Linked DNA regions of Saccharomyces cerevisiae S288C. Changing the gene in region 2 together with the main gene of any one other region gives a genetic interaction. Each region holds a gene or a part of one and is shown on either strand. Other genes may lie near its edges.

Region 1 (4,964 bases), on a different chromosome or scaffold from region 2:
CCCTTGTAGGCAATGAAACAAAGGCCAAGAACAGTTAAACACATCAAGGCTCTGGAAATTGGGTGGTTTAAATCATAGGCGGTGGTTCCAGTGGAGGTGGTTAAAGGTGTGTAGGCTTTATCGTTACGGAAGATGTTTTCCAAAGTGGAGCCAACAGACACATCGCCATTTCTAAACTTCTCGACTTTTTCTGTGTACGCAGCGTGCAAATCTAAGATGTTACTAATTTTTAAGATTTCTAGAACGAAATACAGGAACCGTAATTCATGCTGAGGCTTTCCATATTCGTCTGTTTCTGTGTATTGAATAGCATCCATTAGTTGATCTAGACCAGAAGTTATTTGACCAAACACGACACTTTTGCCATCCAATTCCTCATTTCCATCGGCTTTAGTGGTGATGATGAATTCCGAGGTGTTAGAATCAGGTCCAAAATAGGCCATTGCGAGTCTTTCAGGCCTGTCATGTTTTAAGTAAAAGTTTTCGTCATCAAATTTGGGCCCATAGACGGTGAAAGGACCCACATCTGGGGCAACCACACCACCCTGGATATACTTGTTAGGGTAAACCTTGTTGATTTTGGTCTTACGGTACGAGTAAGTATGTATATCATTGGGATCTTTCCCTTCGATAACTGCCTTAACACCATGGGCCAGCATAGCAAAGTTGTTCACAGTTTTGGGCACGACAGTACCGTACAACTCAAAAGTCAGATCCGCCTCTTTCATCGACTTCGAAACGGGATCAAAGTATTCGATAGTGATTATTCCACGATGTGTGGCGGGGGGACTGGGCTCATATTTTTTCTGAAGATCAACATCCTTGGAGGTAATCTGCTTCCCTGATGAAGGTGCAGCGTGGACTTGGCAGAGTACTAAGGAGTACAGGCAGAGCAGCAAGGATTTCAACCACATGTTGTTGCTGAACTTATTCGAAAGTCTATCTATTTTCTTCGGTCTTCCAATCTACGAGTGTGTGAGTTTGCTAGAGAGCAATTGAAGCAAAGAATATGTGACCTATTAATTGCACCTGACTGACGCCTTTCACTTTAAAGCAGTATTAATATATCTTCTCGTGTCGTTTAGCTGAACCTTTAAGTTGTCAAAATGATACATTATTTATCAGACAATGGAAGAAAAAAAGGGCGCATAGGCCCTAAAACAACACTAGGGTCATAATAGATGTATGGGTCTTACAACTCGTATTTGGTGCAGAAGCCAAGCCAATTGCGGCCTACACAGGTAGATGAAGAGGTAGTAGTAGCAGTGGTGCGAGTCGTCGTGGTTGGTGCAGCGTGGCTTTTAGTCTTGGTAATGAGCCTCGATGAGGATTCCCAGTCTCTGCTTGGAATAAACTTCCAGTTGTAGCAATCTACGCAGGGCTCTGGTTCAACGCACTTGGCAGCCTGCTCGTATCCAAGGAGAACTTCGTCAATGACTTTGTGGATTCTGTGGTTGAACATGTTTACACTCCAGCCCTTGTCGTTGACCACATCGTAGACACAGACTCTACCAGTGTGGCACGCGGTTTCCATAGCGTAGCCCACCAGTGAGCAACTTGAACTAGCTCCGTTGCATGTACCCATGAAGATTGGGTCTGCGTTGTGACCGAAGTGCCAGATACCCTCCATGTATGAGGGAAGTCCCGGTGGGAATGGTAAGTGAAGTCTTTTTGAAGGTAGTAGCTCTCCAGGGGACTCGAATGCGACCGCAGGCAATCCAAAAGTGCGGCCCAGTAAACTGGCCAATGCGCCTCCCAGTGAGTGGCCTGTGACCCATATGGCCGCATCGGGGTATTCTTTGAGGACGCCTTTGTATATGTCAACGACTGCAGAGTAAAATCTATCCTTACGTCTCAGTTCCTTTTCCAGGCAAGACTCATCGCATATATACGACTTCACATAGCAATCGCACACGGTAGTCCACAGGTAGCTCACTCTTGCACAACAACACGAAAATAACAAATTATCGTTGATCTTGTCGTTTCCAGTTGTCTCATCTTCGCCAGACCCTGGCAAACCCTGAGCGCTGGTTCCCTTTATCGAGAGTACCACGATATTCTCCACTTCATTGTAAAAGACGTGACCACGTATACCATCACCATCCCAACCAAAATCTTCCGGCTCTGTTTCATTCCACGGCTCCGTGACGTTACGCCAGTCTCCCGTTTGCGGTATTCTCACGTAAGCATTAGACGACATTAATGCTAACGACACTACTGTACCTCTATCTGTGATATTGGGTGCCACAATGTCATCATCTATCCACATGGCGTGTTCTTCCTCCTCCGTCATGTATGTTTCTCCGTAAATGTACGACTCTATGAATTCAGGATCTCTTTCCTTCATCCGCTTCATCAATAGCGGCATCCTTCGTAGCTCAAACTCAAAATCGAATGGGTTAGTGGTGGCATATTCGGCATTAGTAGTCCATAGGGGTTCTTGGTCTTCGAAATCCTGTCCTTGAGTTGTGGTTTCTTGATACAGCATTCCAGCGGCAGAAATAACTTCTGGAGTGACCTCCAGCCTCTGGTGTAGCCGATGGTTTGCTCCGACGCCATGCCTGTAGATAGACTTAAGTCTAAAGGTTCCATCAGATTTTTGATCCATGGCACCCCTGGATGAGCTCTTCCCTACCGATAAATAATCCGGTAAAGCAAAGTAGTAAGCAATAAGGCAGAGCACTGTAAGCGTTAGAATGCATCCTAGATGCAAAGGAGAAGCAAATCTCTTTCTTGAAGGGCTTTTATGCAACATTCAATAGAATATTTCCCTTGTTTCCTTTAATTGTAATGCCTAGATCAGTTCTCAATCACGATAACAATTTTCTGAGCAGCGGCGTACTTTCTTTGACTTATCCAAAAGGTTGACACTGATTTGAGTGTCTCAAAAGCCTTTAAATGATAGAAACAAGGCTTTTAGGCTAGTCTTATGTAATAGAGAAAGTTCATCTATATCTACAGATTCTTATTATGTACTGTTGAACAAAGGTGCGGGTAACTGCGATCACACAATCACTTTTTTCCGGAAACGGCTGTCTTCAGCGAACAACAATATAGTAGAGATACTGTATTCAACTGGAAATGCTTTCCCTTTTGCCCTATCATTATTTTCTTTCCGATGTTATGCTTATTATATCTGTGATTGATAAGAGAAAAAAAAAAAAGTGACAGCTATAGAGAAAAAAAAAAACCCTTAGAGAATCCTACCTGGAATATATTTAATGAGCAAGTCTATCTGCTGCACATTGGTCACGACACATGTTAGTGTATATGGCCCAGCCTATGTATTTACGATTTAAATCACCTTGATAATTATTAAACGATATCCAGTTTATTTCGTATTATGTTACATCTGTCAAGCCCTTACTTAGCAATTTTGAGCCCTAGTATTTTTGACCACATTTGTAACTGCCCTATTTTATTATCCTTTTAGCCCTCCTGTCCTTTTTTCTTGGTTGTAGTAATTTTCATTTATATCTCGAGAATTGTACAGTGTAAATGAGAACTGTGAACGCTTCAAGTAACCTACGCTTATAGCTGCTTCGATCGACGGAGGCTGTTTGTCAACAAGCATCACAATTCCCTACGATACGTCCTCTCTTCCTTTTTTTTCTCTCCTTTTAAACTTAGAAAAACTAGCATAATAATGAGTGGCAACTCTGCAAACTATGACGTCGGATATCCGATATATGGTGCTAAATTTATAAATGAAGGCACTCTACTGGTGGCTGGTGGTGGAGGCCAGTTCAATTCCTCGTTTCCAAACAAAATTACAGCTTTAAAGGTGAACTTCCAGAAAAAGAAACACATTAGAAGGTTTCGTGAGATCACATTAGATTCGATTGACGATGCGCCCACTTCATTGGATTGTAATAATAACCTGATTCTAGTTGGTTGCAATGAACTGTTTAATGATTCCTCCATGGAGAACGTTAACCACCACTTGAGGAAGTTTGTGTTTGAACAAGAACATCTAAAATTCGTGGCCAGTATTGATTTCAACAGAACTACAGACCCATCCGTTTTCACTAAGTTTGTTTACATTAATCAAAGGGCCACAGTAGCTGCAATTGCGTCCTCTGAAGTGCCCACTGTGATAAGAATCATTGACCCGCGTAATTTGACGGAAAATTACGAAATTGAAACGGGTAGGGAAGTTAATGATTTGCACTTCGCCCCTAACGGTATTCTTTTGTCATATATCACTTCTAATTCTTTGGAAGTAGCGTCTGTTAGGGACGGAAATTTTGTAGCAAGGAAAACGGATTTTGATAAAAATCTTGTTCTTTCTAATATCAGGTTTCTCAATGACAATACGCTATTAGTGGCAGCATCATTATCGAACTCTGATGGAGTTTCCTTGTTAAAACTAGGTGTGAGTTCCAAAGGTGTTAAAATTTTAAAAACAGCATCCTTCATGTTCGATTTGAATGGAATAACATCGATGGATGTCTCCCCAAATAAGAAGTTCGTTGCATTATCATCTAACGATAACTTGGTTGCCATCGTCAGCGTTGAAAAGCTAAAGCTTGTTCAGTTGGTTCCAAGAGTACATGAATCTACTATAACAAAAGTTACTTTTTCTCCAGATTCTAGATATTTGGCAAGCACTTCTATGGGGAACACGATCAACGTTCTGAAGCTTTCCGGTACATCGTCATCAATTTTACGAAATATTTGGAAATTTTTCTTGAATTTTGTTTTGTTAGTGGTTTTGGCTGGCGCTATTCAACTAGGCTACAAACATAATGTGCACGGCTTTATTTACAAACATGCTCATGATATATATAAGTCGAAATTCAAGGAAAACACTACCATAGACCAAGGATCTTCTTCTTATTTCACTATTAATGACGATTACAGAGGCATTACTGAAAGTGCAGATATCATCAGCGCTACAGATGTTGCTAGCGATATAGAGACTGAATTTTCCTCATTTGACACTAGCACTATGAGAACCACCA
Region 2 (4,074 bases):
TCTCAAAGCTTCCACGGTGTCCCTCTGAAAAACAGGGCCAGAAGTACTCGTGGTACTATCCAAGAAGCAGTTTAATGAGATGGAGAGCCTCAACGCATGTGGTATCTCTCGCTGCGGTAAATTTTTCAATTGAATCAATTTGGAGAAGGAATCATGAATTTTCCATACCAAATCATATTGATTGACAGTATTCAATATGCTTGTAGGAGTGTCGAGGTCGATGTTTAAACGTAAATGCTTACGACTTAATGGGTTTTTCGTGAATATTGTATTGTACAGAAAGCATTTATAGACTTTATCGTCATCATAAATGTCTGAATATATCCTTACGAAATCCGAAGATTTTTCGTTTTGATACTGCACAAACTGCAAAAAATCCTTTACCGTAGAAATATTCTCTGGCAATAATGATTCCGATGATGAACCGAGACTTTCACCCTCCCTTTGGTCGTAATTGAGTTGATGACCATTCATTTTCCACTTACTGTCCATTTCTTGAAGCCAGATTTTGTTGCTGTTCTGGTACTGTTTCCTAATATTTGGAGGCAATGTGTAATCATTAAATGACCTTGAAATAAAAAAAGGACTTAGTAAATTAATTATGGGAATAAATTGTTTATATCCTAAATTCTCCGTTATCATCAAAATATCCCATAAGGTTATTTCGAAAAGTCTGTTGGTGGGAATCTTCAATCTCGATTCAAAATTAGGGGTCCTTACATGGACGTCATTAATGTTACTAGTTGCTTCATCATCGGTATCAAGGTTTAAATTATTAGCATTCTTTAAATCAATGCCCATGTACTTCCCATTGCACCATAAATTTCTCAAGATTTTAGGGTGATTATAATCTATAGCAAGTTTTTCTGAAATTGTCATAAAATTATCATAAAGCTTACCAAAAAATGTCAGTCGAAACGTATCCCAATTGAACAAGAGCCAATCCAATGCATCCTGAACTAGTTTAGATTCACTAGAATCTATCCGCCTATAATTTTTGATTTTAGATAATGTGTCTTGTTGCTTTTTGTCAATGCCCTGAAATAACTGTTTTTCTTTGATTTGTTGGCTCTTCGTTGTGAAATCATTATTTGAATCATGATCATTACTATCATTTTCGTTAGTACTGGAATTGGAACCCAAGTTATTATAACTATTGCTAGTAAAGTCAGTGCTGTGGTCCCAAAATCGATAGCCTTGTAAACATGACTGGAAACTCAATACACTCACTGTAGTGTTTTCATCAAACTCTAGAACTTCATTATTTTGCACGATATATTTCGCTAATAGCAAAGTTAAGGGAACGCTGTGATAAACGCCCACAAAAAAAATTGAATCTACCTCTTTGAAAAGATGAGCCCAGTGGTTCAGTAACTCTACACATTCTTTATATGTAGGTATTAAATCTTGATTATGCAGTGGGCACTGGAACGATAGGGTCAAGACTCTTTGAGGTTGTTCTTGCGCTAGATTTTGTGACAATTTTCTAGAAAGATAATAAGCCGATCTTTGTGATTCTAATGAGCGCTGCTCATACTTTTCTGGTAAATCCCCCACGACGGATATTATAATAATTCTCTTATCCTTCAGTAATGCGGTTTTTTTTTGTCTTAAATAGAGATGTTGCTCATTAGGGAAGTTATAGTAATTTTTGATAGTATTCAATACCTTAGTTCTTAGTGGTTGGACGTGCAGAAAATTCAAAGGGTTATCTGATGGTAGGATTAAAGAATCATTAATAAATACATTATACCCAGGGTTACCTCCCTCCCCAGGATATTTGTTTAATGGCAATGGGCATTTGGCTGATCCTGTACCAGAGACACTGATTATTCCTGGGGTATCTATGGAATCAATTATGTTTGATGAATTTGATATATGTGGAATTGCTTCGTACCAACACCATGATTTCGACTTTTTTGAAATTATATCCTTAGCCTCATTTTCCAAGAAGTTGATTTGTTCAGTGTTTAGTTGAGAGTAGCGGGTATTATCATCAACAACAATTGGGGCACTTCTATATCTGGATGTTGCAAAAGAAGCGATTTTAGACCATATCCCTTTATTGTCATTATTCGAGTTCACGCTATCTTGAAAATCCGTTGTCGGACTACTCCTTCCTTGTCCATTAGGATATTCTGCAATTCTTCCCGTGTTTGGCTCATCGTCGGCAGTGGAATTCCACCAGGGTTTCCATCTGTTTTGTTGTCGTGGACGTTGGGGTGGGACTTCCTGCTGGTCCTCTCGTATCTGCTGCTGCTCTTGTGTTTGATGCTGCAACTGTTTATCCTGTTTCTGCTGCACAACATCCATTATAATAGCGTTTTATATGTTGTGCTAAATTGCTACTACACTTGCTCGCTTTTACTTATTCTGTTTGTAGTTGACCTTTATTTAACGTTGATTTTTGTTATTAACCTGCGCGAATCTGTATTAAGGGCGCATATTCCATGGGCAATTTCATTATAACAGAAAGGAAGAAAGCAAAGGAGGAAAGAAGCAATCCACAAACAGATAGCATGGATGATTTGTTAATTCGTAGACTAACAGATCGAAACGACAAGGAGGCCCATTTAAATGAGTTGTTTCAAGATAATAGTGGCGCCATTGGTGGCAACATTGTCAGCCATGACGATGCTTTATTGAATACACTGGCAATTCTACAAAAAGAACTGAAAAGTAAGGAGCAAGAAATACGAAGATTGAAAGAAGTTATTGCGTTGAAAAATAAGAATACGGAAAGGTTGAATGACGAATTGATTAGTGGAACCATTGAAAATAATGTTTTACAACAAAAACTCTCGGATCTGAAAAAAGAACATTCCCAGCTAGTTGCGAGATGGCTAAAAAAGACAGAGAAAGAGACAGAAGCCATGAACAGCGAAATAGATGGAACGAAATGATGCATCAGTTGTCAAATCGTCACAAAATGCATACAAAAGAAAATAAAATCATTGTGGTGCATATACATGGACAGAATATGAAACGCCAAAGTGTTTGCAATAAAGAGGTGAAAATATGTTAAACATGCTATAGAGAGTACACCTGCAAGTTAAGAAAATGCCATTCGTGTTTTTATCTACTATAATGTAATGTGACAGCTGTTTTAAACCTTTCTTAAGGTCGTTTGTGCGAGAACAGGCTTTTTTTTTGGAGAATGTATCTTGAGAGAAACTCAATAGTAATAACTGGATGCATAAAGAAAATTTCATATGAATCACTACAAATCTTTGGCGTTAGAATTCTATTGGGTAAATTGAACTTTGTAGCTTTTTGATGGTAAACTTGGCGGTTTTGCGCGACCCATGATCCTAAGAAACCCGCAGTTTCTATTAGGATTCACGATGGTCTTTATCTCACCTTCTATTATGTGTAAGTTGAAATGCCCCTTGCTGTTCTTATAGCAGAAAGCTTTTTTTTTCATTTATAGGACTAGCATTTTGGCATTGGAAGGGAAAAAATCATGCTTTCATTGAAAAATGAAAAGAAACATATCGTTATTTTGTGGGAACACTGAAGTATAATTTTTTGTTTCGGAAATTTACCATTGCATAGTGGGTATTTTCATCGAAAGTTGGCTAAAGAATGCATGCGGCCTGTTCATTCTGGTTATGAGCATTTCAATTGGTTAGTATATTGGCGTGAGTGGAAAGAATAGTGGATAAAAACTAAGAGACCCGTTCATTCTCCTGATACGATCTTGCGGTAAACCTTATATTTTTGGGGAGGGTACTGTAATATCTCATAACTCCGCGTATTATTGTGGATGTAACTTGTTGCTGATCCTCTCGCTGAGGCCATCATTATACGTGAGTCGAAGGATGGCCGAAATTTTATGATACTACACCGAAATTAAACCGTCGTCTAATTTAAGATGGCTGAAATGCAAAAACCTGGTTCTTTAAGTGGAAAATAGAAGACTAAATGGTTTCATTGCTATTTATGGTGCAAGAAGATGGCTTAAAGATTAAGAAGCATTAATCAGATTTAATGGAAGCTGAAGTGCAAAGGTTGATTATGTAGCGATCTCTAACGACAATTGTTGGAATGAAAATGAACTATCATCTATCAACT
Region 3 (5,319 bases), on a different chromosome or scaffold from region 2:
CGAATATCAAGCCAAATCCCAAAGCGGTTGGTTTTTACAATTCTCCAAATTAGACAATTATGGGCTAAGACTTTTTAAACACGACTTGAAGATTGTTAAATTAAGCTCCGCTAATGCCGACAATTTCGACTTCCAATCTCCGTTTGCTGTCTTGTCTGATGATGAAACGTCCCAACATTTCACCACCTACCTAATCTCTCCAGCTGAACATCCAACAATTTGTACTTTCACACCAGAAAAGGGTGGTAAACCGGCTCAATTAATCATATGGGCCCTCTCTGAAGGTAAAATCACCAAGAAAATTGCCTCCAAAACTTTCTTTAAAGCTGATTCCTGCCAATTGAAATGGAATCCATTAGGTAATGCTATTTTATGTTTAGCTATTACTGATTTTGATTCCTCAAACAAATCATATTATGGTGAAAACACACTATACTTACTGTCTTTCCAAGGTGTCAACGGGACTTTGGGTGGTAACTCTGTACGTGTTTCTTTAACCACTGGACCTGTCCACGATTTCACTTGGTCGCCAACTTCAAGGCAATTCGGTGTCATCGCTGGTTACATGCCAGCAACCATTTCCTTTTTTGACTTAAGAGGTAATGTTGTCCATTCATTACCTCAACAAGCCAAAAATACCATGCTTTTCTCTCCCTCTGGTCATTACATTCTTATCGCCGGGTTTGGTAATTTACAGGGCTCCGTGGAAATCCTAGATCGTCTCGACAAATTCAAGTGTGTGAGTAAATTTGACGCTACCAACACTTCTGTCTGCAAATGGTCACCGGGTGGAGAATTTATCATGACAGCTACCACTTCACCAAGATTGAGAGTGGATAACGGCGTTAAAATATGGCATGTATCAGGCTCTTTAGTATTTGTTAAAGAGTTCAAGGAGCTTTTGAAGGTAGACTGGAGGTCACCATGTAATTACAAAACTTTGGAAAACAAAGACGAAGCATTTTTCGAGAACCATATCATTAATAACTGGGAACCGCTACCTGATTCGACCACATCTTCACTTGATCCTAAAATATCCAATAAATCAGAATTGCAAATACATTCTAGCGTTCAAGAGTACATAAGTCAACACCCAAGCAGAGAAGCAAGCTCCAATGGAAACGGATCTAAGGCCAAAGCTGGAGGCGCTTATAAACCACCTCACGCAAGAAGAACAGGCGGTGGACGTATTGTCCCCGGAGTTCCTCCTGGTGCAGCAAAGAAGACCATCCCAGGGCTAGTTCCGGGCATGAGTGCCAACAAGGACGCCAACACCAAGAACAGGAGAAGAAGAGCCAATAAAAAGTCAAGTGAAACGTCACCTGATTCTACTCCGGCCCCATCTGCTCCTGCCTCCACAAATGCCCCCACAAACAATAAAGAAACTTCTCCAGAGGAGAAGAAAATAAGATCTTTACTAAAGAAATTAAGGGCTATTGAAACCTTGAAGGAAAGACAGGCCGTCGGTGACAAACTAGAAGATACGCAAGTTCTAAAAATTCAAACTGAAGAAAAAGTGTTGAAAGATTTGGAAAAGTTGGGTTGGAAGGATGAATAAACTAGAAGAAACTGATGTATCCATACAACTGTGTAAATATTAACAACGTCAAATAATACTACTTTGAATTGTTTTTTACTGTTTCCCAGGAGAATTACGCCAACCTCCCCCCTTTCTTTTTTTCCCTTGTTTTATTGTACTTTTCCACATATTTTTTTAACATCAAATAGTAATTGATACATACATAATTAGTGAGCATTTTCCTTATTTTTACGTCTCTTCTTGGCGGATTGCCACCAGCCGCATCTTACAATGTATGCCACGATACCGCCAGGCAATAAATGAATATGGAGTGTCACTTCGGCTCCGTAAGCCGGCGCTGCATCCGCCACCACAGTTTTTTTTAGCGTCGCTGTCGCCGCTTTGCCACAGAAAAAGAAAAAAAAAAAAGAAACGGCGCCGTGTAGGGTTTTGTATAACAGATCGGCCTAGCAGCCAGGAGATGGCACGGCGCCAACTGAAAAGTTAGACTGTGGAATTGCCGTTCACCACACTCGAGTGGCATCTAATAAACTGCCACAGTTGACTCAAGCGGTGCTACCTTCGCAGTTATTGCACACCATGGTAACACATAACACAGTCTTGCATTACAAATGTGGTTCCTCCTACTTGGCGGTGAATTTCTTGAGTCAGCCCGTTATTTTCATATGGTGATGTAAGATTACATACAGTATATATATATAAGGATGATTCTCACACAAACTTTTCCGCTGTTCATCATATTTTGTTTTTGGATTAGTTTCACATTCTGTAGAAATCTTTAAAGACAAGAGAAGAGAAAACAAAGGCGGAGCAATGTCGGAAGGAAGAACGTTTCTGTCACAGTTGAATGTCTTCAACAAGGAGAACTATCAATTTTCTTCTTCTACTACAAAAAAGGAAGTAAGTAACTCGACAGTGGATGCTGACAACGGTGCCTCCGATTTTGAGGCAGGCCAGCAATTTGCTACAGAATTGGACCAAGGTGAAAAGCAGTTAGGTATTTTGTCGTGTATTGGGCTTATCTGTAATAGAATGCTTGGTACCGGTGTTTTCGCCGTTTCCTCGACCATTTACACACTATGTGGGTCTGTGGGGCTTGCATTAATTATGTGGGCAGTTGGCGCCATTATTGCCATTTCTGGGTTATATGTATACATGGAATTCGGTACGGCTATACCGAAAAATGGTGGTGAAAAAAACTACCTGGAGGCTATTTTCAGGAAACCAAAATTCTTCATTACCTGTATGTATGCTGCGTATATTTTCTTCCTAGGTTGGGCTGCTGGTAATTCCATCAATACAGCTATTATGTTTTTAACTGCTGCTGATACTGAAGTGACCAAATGGAATCAAAGAGGTATTGGTGTGGCCGTCGTTTTTTTTGCATTCCTAATTAATTCTCTGAATGTCAAGATTGGTCTATATTTGCAAAACATTTTAGGTATTTTCAAGATTGGTATTGTCCTCTTCATTTCTATTACCGGTTGGGTTGCCCTTGGCGGTGGTCTCAAAGATGGTTATCAATCTCACAACTTTCGTAATGCTTTTGAAGGTACTGAAACCGCCACTGCTTATGGTATTGTTAACGCCTTATATAGTGTTATTTGGTCGTTTGTCGGTTACTCCAATGTTAACTATGCACTTGGTGAAGTTAAGAACCCTGTGAGAACTTTGAAGATTGCTGGTCCTACATCGATGGTCTTCTTGGCTATAATCTACATTTTTGTGAACATTGCTTACTTCGCTGTGGTTCCAAAAGATAAGTTAATTTCTTCAAAATTGATTTTAGCTGCTGACTTCTTCGATATTGTGTTTGGCGGCCAAGCCAAGAGAGCAGCAGCCGCACTGGTCGGGTTGAGTGCCTTAGGAAATGTTCTTTCTGTCATTTTTTCTCAGGGTAGAATTATTCAACAACTAGGACGTGAAGGTGTGTTGCCCTTTTCTAATTTCTTTGCCTCTTCTAAGCCATTCAACTCCCCAATGGTTGGTTTGTTTCAACATTTTATTGTTTGTACAGTAACCATTTTAGCCCCACCTCCAGGTGATGCATATTTGCTAGTCCAAAATTTAATTTCCTACCCAATGAATATTATTAATTTTGCCATTAGCGCGGGTTTGCTTTGGATATACTGGCAACGTAGACAAGGTAAAATTGAATGGAACCCACCAATTAAGGCCGGTGTTTTTGTTACGGGATTTTTCACATTATCCAATTTATACCTGATTATTGCTCCTTACGTTCCACCTTCAAATGGCGAGTCGGTGTATTCAAGCATGCCATACTGGATCCACTGTGTAATTGCTTGGGGTATTTTCTTCTTTGGTGGTGTTTACTACGTTGTTTGGGCCCAATTATTGCCAAGATGGGGCCACTACAAATTGGTTTCCAAGGATGTGCTTGGTGAAGATGGGTTCTGGAGAGTCAAAATTGCCAAAGTTTATGATGACACTATTGGCGATGTCGATACACAAGAAGACGGCGTTATTGAAACGAATATAATCGAACATTACAAAAGTGAACAAGAAAAATCGCTGTAACCAAAAAGGTACTTACCATCTCATCTCGATTCTTATAATCACGTATGAACATTCTTATAATTGCATTTTCTTTATACAAAATATATAGGTACCAAACCTCATTATAATTTCTGCCATTTAATAGTTTAAGATGCTATTCCGTTTCGTATTTTTTCAATTTTTATACCTACTATTGCGCGAAATCAAAATAGCATACTAAGAAAAAGCAATATCATGAATTGCTGATGAGATAGATTCAAATTGGAATTAACTAAATCTATCAGCAACGCTATAAACACAGATAAGCGCTCTATAAAATCGTTTGTCTAACGTTTTATATAGTTCTTTATTGCTCCCTTACCCTCTTTCCGTCAATAGTGATTGTTGTCTCGGGAAAGCTTTTTTTTTTATTAATCAAAGGCCCAATTGAGTTACAACTGAAATTAAGCTGAGTTGGCGGAACAGTGTGGTATTAGCGAAGGGAAAATCTGTGAAGTGCCCTAGCTACAAAACAGAGATAAAAAAAATTATATTTCAAGCATGGTGGAGCAAGATAATGGGTTTTTACAGAAGCTACTCAAAACACAATACGATGCTGTCTTCCATTTAAAGGATGAAAATGGTATAGAAATATATCCAATATTCAATGTACTGCCACCTAAAAAAGAATATCCAGACTATTACATTATAATAAGGAATCCGATATCTTTAAACACTTTAAAGAAACGATTGCCCCATTATACATCGCCACAAGATTTTGTTAACGATTTTGCGCAAATTCCTTGGAATGCAATGACATACAATGCAAAAGATTCAGTAATTTACAAATATGCCATTCTTCTTGAGTCTTTTATTAAAGGAAAGATCGTGCACAATATAAGAAAACATTATCCCGAGGTGACATATCCATCTCTAGGTCGAATTCCGGAAATATTCGCAGAGAGTATGCAACCCTCCGATTTATCCTCGAACCCCATTAATACACAGGAAAATGATGAAAAGGCTGGCTTAAATCCAGAGATGAAAATGGCTTTCGCAAAACTAGATAGTTCGATCACTGAAAGGAAACCAACCAACCAAGATTACAGGATGCAACAAAAAAACTCACCAGCGTTTCCAACCCATTCTGCTTCTATAACACCGCAGCCGCTGGCTTCACCTACTCCAGTTGTTAACTATGCAAATATTACCTCGGCGCATCCCAAAACCCATGTTAGACGCGGTAGACCACCAGTAATTGATCTACCCTATGTACTGAGGAT
Region 4 (5,213 bases), on a different chromosome or scaffold from region 2:
GATTCTTTTCGAAACCCTCATCACGAACCATTTGAGCATTAACTTTAGCTGATTCTGGATCCAAGTAAAATTTCCTCACAAAAGAGTAATTGTCTCTATCCAACTCTATAACTAGCGGAATGCCGTTGGGAATATCGACATCTTTGATGTCTTCATCTGAGATACCTTCCAATACTTTCAGCAGAGATCTTACAGAGCTGCCATGCCCAACTATAACACACGATTCTTGACTGATTTTGTTGGCGGTAGACAGAACAACATTATTTAAAAATGGTTTCAATCTGACGACCACTTCACAAAGAGACTCACTTTCTGGCAGACGCTCATTAGCCTTCTCTTCGGGGCCGTATTTTAAGTGTCTATTGGGCTCCTTAAAATCATAGCCTGTGGAGGACCCCTGATCATTTTCCTCTTGGACCATTTCCAGGTTTAGGTTGACTTTAGGGGGTTTTCCGTTGTAATCTCTTCTGATATACATGTATTTTTCCTTACCGTATTCTTTCAAGATATCTGGCTTTCTTTGTCCTTGCCATGCGCCGTAATGACGCTCATTTAACCTCCAGGTTTGCAACACAGGCATACTTCCTTCAAATCTTGTGTCCTGCAGCTCCTCCTTAATGTTTGTATTCGTAGTAATTACATAATTGGTGTGTTTTAGTCCCAACTCTTCGAGAATAACGTCCATGGTCTGCTGAGTTCGAATCAACCTTGAAGTATAGCCAATCTGAGGCAAAGAGATATTGTTAGAATCGCAAAACTGCTTGATCAATTTTGCAGAGTGGCGGGCCTGAGACTTCCCTTTTTCCGTTAATTGAGCATCAATCCATCCGCAGAATATGTTTTCTGAGTTTAATTCACTTTGACCATGCCTTAAAATAAACAGTTTAAAAGTGTCAGTAACAGTCATAACTATTCGTTATTAGTAGATCTTTTTGCACTATTTCTCAATCCTCTCAAAGAGACTTTTATTGTAAATCCTCGATTGCAGGTTGTTTTATCACATATGTATAAAATGGAAGCTTCTATTGTTTTATCGAACTTGTCAATGAAATCTCGCATTGTTATCATCTCATAATACAAATCTGAAAAAAAAAGTTAAAAAACAAAGGAAAGTCACACAAAACTAGCAAAAGTAACAAATCAAAATTCGCTGACAGTTAGTGCTGTCGTATCCTGTCACACTTACATAATATATATCTGTTTACATAATCTAATAGCTTGAACAAAAGCAACAGCAAAGGTTGCTAATTAAAACGTGTGCTCTTAAGGACATCATAATTCTCTATCAAGGAAAGATTGGAGCATACCCTGTGGGGTTTCATCATATTCTTTCAGGGTTACCTTGTTATTGTCGTCAATATAAGAATTCGATTGTATGAATTGTCTCCTTGGCAATCTCTTAGATAAGACGATGTCTCTTAAAGACGCCAAATCCGGTGTCACCGTTGATCTATCAATAAAGTACTTACTTCCCTGTTCCACATCGCCTGAACATTTGTAAACATGCAAATGCTTTAAATAGTCTTTCACACATTCATGTCCCGCTGTTTTAATGAGAGATTTATCCAACTTGATGGCAAAATCATCATTCGTGCTGTTCATCTCCAACTTTAAGAAATTCTTATCTGTAGAGTGCTTCATAAATGTTTTCATGATAGAAAATCTTGCTTGCATGTGTGGTTGTCCCCACTTACCAGTTTTTGGATTCCAGTATTCTAAAGCTAGGAGACCCGCACGGGCCATTTGTAGATATCCAGCGTAGATCACTTTATCTTGAGATTCGACATCATGGAAACCAAAAATATCAAGAATCTTCTTATTAGTAAGCAAAAACATGGCAATTACTTCCGCACGACATTCTTCAAATGGGCCAGCTAACTGTCCAAATTTGGAACCCCAAGTTTCACCAACTTTGTAGTATGTGCTCACCGGTTTCCCATCCAAACCTAAAGGAGGGTTTTCCTTATCAAAATTAAAGCCGTCTGTAAATTCTGTCAACAACTTTCCTGAACCATGTCCTAATAATTCATGGATGCCTACTTGGACTTCAAAAGAATCACTTTGATATTTTTCAAAAATTGGGCGATCTTCTTGCGATATAAAACTTGGCGGATGCTTGGATGAGCTTTTGGCAGCCGCGCTTAAGATATTCCCCAAAGAAACATTCTTGAACCCAATTTTAAGCCGAACATCATCATAGTTTGGAATATTGATGCCCGCTGGTATACCCGATCCAGTAAACGTTAATACTTCTAGAGAGGTGAAATCTGGTGGATTGAAAATCGGTTTTTCGTAATCTTTAGACCATGGTAGTAAGGAAATGAATTCTTCTGCGTTGTTAACCAAGCTGGAAAATTTAGCAGTACGTTCTTTGTTTTGAATTGCAACCAACGATTCAAATTCTCCAATTATGCCCGAGGGTTCTCTATATGTTTCGATAAAACCGATATTTGTTTCAATGACGGGAGATATATCTTTGACCCAAAGTTTTTGTGCTTCTTTATGTGCTTGAGAAGAGCCAGTGACAAAGTGGTTGATGTATTCCTGAAGCATTGCTTTTTGAGTATCATTAGCCGCGAATTTTTGAGCTTCCTTTAAATACGATGCTACTAAACGCATTTCACGTGAATGATCACCAAAAATGAATTCTACTTTGGTTACAGCATTGGATAATGTGATCTGTCCACTGGGGTAGGTTTCTGTTATCTGGTTTTTCACATTCTCAGAGGCAACCCAGATTTGGAAACTGTTTTCACCAACTTTGTTGATTCTTGTGTTTTCAGGCAAGATGGCAAGTTCAGCAAACAACTGCTCTTTCAAAAGAGCCATATCTTCAGGTGTCACAGGTAAACCCAGATAATAGGCTGAAGTATAACCTTGAGAGGGAAACCCTAAGAGAGCCGCCTTCTCTTCCACATGGTAAATACCAATATCAATTAGCTCATTGATGGTGGAAAAAAGATGATGAGATGTGAATTCATGGTTAACGTCAACAGGAGATAAAGTGAGCGGAGAAGAACACGGATTAATCTTGGCCAGCTCCAAAAGCTGTTTGAAGAATTTTACCTCACAACGAGGAATAAACTTAGTGTCACCAAACGATTTGAAATTACCCAAATTAGATAAGAATTGAGAAACGTATTCCAAATACAAACCCGTTTGCTGCTTCTGCGTAATATCGTCCTCTGGGTACTTGCCGTTTAGCTTTGAATGAATGGCAAGGATTAGGTCAAAAATTGGCTCACTCTCATGAGAAACTTGTCTCATTACAACCCTTGAACCCGCATGGGAGGCCTTTGACATGAAATGCGCATATTTTTGTTCCTTATCAGTCAATTGAGGAAAGTATTCTGTTTTAACAGAAAGCATGCTCAGAGGAGCATCATGATCGGCGAAAAAGTGGCTCATCTTTGAGGACTTAATGGTGCAGTGCTCAGTTTTTTTTTTCTTCTTTTCAATGTTCTGTTCTCATGAAGGTATTTTTCCTTTACGATATTGGGATTTTTCGCTACGTCAACTTATTCCGAGCGGCTATGCTCTTAGCTATTTTTTCTTCTATTCAAAATTGGTATGATGCTTTCTTAAACTATTTATACAAAAGCTTACATATGTCTACATATGTATTTACATCACAAGAGTGTGCAGAAATAGGAGGTGGAGGAAGAGATCGTTATCTATCTTGAGGCGATGAACTAGCGGACTTACAAAGTCAACTCTTCACCTTTGGTTTTTTTGGATTCACCGTATTTTTTAATTCTAATGGCCTGGATGGCAATGAAACCGGTGGTATCGGTAGGTAAGAAACCGGTCAACTCATCCATAGAGGATTCTGTCGGATCGTACAACTTTTCAGTCTTTGTAGATCTGCCCAGAATGATGACGTTACCCTTATACAGTCTAACCCTGACAGTACCGTTAACGCTATTTTGGGATGGTTGGATCATAGATCTGATGTACTCACACTCTGGGGTGAAGTAGGAACCGTTATATATCAATCTGGAGTAGTTTGGTGTGACGAATGAGTCTCTCAATTGACGGACTTCTTTGTCTAAAGTCAAACCTTCCAAATCAACATGAGCTTTTCTCAAAACAGTCAATGGAGCCTGTTCGTAACAACCTCTGGATTTCAAGTTAATGTAACGATCTTCTACAATATCGATTCTACCAACACCGTTGGCCCTTGCTAAGTTGGATGCGGCCAAGAAAACATCCAAAGGCTTGGTAACGGAAACTTCCTTGGAAGTCTTGTTGTCGGTGTAGGTCAACTTGACTGGAAGACCACGTTCAAAGTCAATGGTCAAATCTTGTGGTTGGTCCGGAGCATCCATTGGATCGACGATCAATTTCCACATGTCCTTTGGTGGGGTGGTATCTGGGTCTTCCAAGATACCTGCCTCGTAAGAAATGTGGGCTTGGTTTTCGTCAGTAGACCATGGCTTGGCCTTGGTTTGGGCGACGGGAATACCCTTTTGTGCAGCATAGTCTAACAAATCCTTTCTGCCAGCAAATCTTTCGAAAAATTCAGGCATTCTCCATGGTGTAATACACTTAACGTCTGGCTTCAGAGCGTAAAATGACAATTCGAATCTGATTTGATCATTACCTTTACCGGTACAACCATGAGAGACCGCGAAACAGCCCTCCTGTTTAGCGACGTCAATTTGGGCTTTGGCAATAACAGGTCTTGCCAAAGAGGTACCCAACAGATAAACGTCTTCGTACACAGCGTTGACCTGTACAGCTGGGAATAGAATATCCTTGACAAAATCTTCACGACAATCCACACAAACGAACTTGCAGGCACCGATCTTCAAGGCCTTTTCCTTGGCGGCATCGAAATCTTCTTCTTGCCCTACATTAGCCATGAAAGCTACAACTTCGTAGCCTTGGTCTAGTAGCCAAGCCAAAATGACGGAGGTATCTAAACCACCAGAATAAGCCAAACAAACTTTTCCCTTAGACATTATTTTATGCAATTATGTGTATTTCTTTTGTATCCGTGTATATTAGAACAATGTTCCTTATCGCTGCACAATGGGGAGACAAGATACAAGAAGTAAAGAGAGAGAGAACTGTGGGCAAGAACAAGGGAGTACGAATGTATGCCCATTAATATACTATTGAGACAGTGCCAGTCTGGGTCTCGCAACTGCTCAGATTACACTATCTGCCGCTACGCAGTCATCAATCTGATCCAATGAAGATGAGTAATC

The links.
Region 1: of ATG16 (region 2) and ATG15, changing one suppresses a phenotype caused by changing the other (phenotypic suppression), as found in Saccharomyces cerevisiae (one study listed by BioGRID).
Region 3: mutations in ATG16 (region 2) and MUP1 together harm fitness more than expected from each alone (negative genetic interaction), as found in Saccharomyces cerevisiae (2 studies listed by BioGRID).
Region 4: mutations in ATG16 (region 2) and YOL057W together harm fitness more than expected from each alone (negative genetic interaction), as found in Saccharomyces cerevisiae (2 studies listed by BioGRID).

What each region holds. Positions count from the first base shown.
Region 1 is NC_001135.5:235,005-239,968, reverse strand, and holds ATG15 (triglyceride lipase ATG15), read right to left. Parts: upstream 2,756-4,964; coding exon 1,193-2,755; downstream 1-1,192. Other genes in the region: peptidylprolyl isomerase family protein CPR4, read right to left, coding at 1-914; GTPase-activating protein SED4, read left to right, coding at 3,647-4,964. UniProt on the Saccharomyces cerevisiae protein: Lipase which is essential for lysis of subvacuolar cytoplasm to vacuole targeted bodies and intravacuolar autophagic bodies. Involved in the lysis of intravacuolar multivesicular body (MVB) vesicles.
Region 2 is NC_001145.3:573,305-577,378, reverse strand, and holds ATG16 (Atg16p), read left to right. Parts: upstream 1-2,450; coding exon 2,451-2,903; downstream 2,904-4,074. Other genes in the region: CVM1 (Cvm1p), read right to left, coding at 1-2,313; YMR158C-A (uncharacterized protein), read left to right, coding at 4,048-4,074. UniProt on the Saccharomyces cerevisiae protein: Stabilizes the ATG5-ATG12 conjugate and mediates the formation of the 350 kDa complex, which is necessary for autophagy.
Region 3 is NC_001139.9:597,064-602,382, forward strand, and holds MUP1 (Mup1p), read left to right. Parts: upstream 1-2,353; coding exon 2,354-4,078; downstream 4,079-5,319. Other genes in the region: YGR054W (translation initiation factor 2A), read left to right, coding at 1-1,558; RSC subunit protein RSC1, read left to right, coding at 4,598-5,319. UniProt on the Saccharomyces cerevisiae protein: High affinity permease for methionine.
Region 4 is NC_001147.6:218,962-224,174, reverse strand, and holds YOL057W (dipeptidyl-peptidase III), read right to left. Parts: upstream 3,409-5,213; coding exon 1,273-3,408; downstream 1-1,272. Other genes in the region: phosphoglycerate mutase family protein GPM3, read right to left, coding at 1-907; ARG1 (argininosuccinate synthase), read right to left, coding at 3,702-4,964.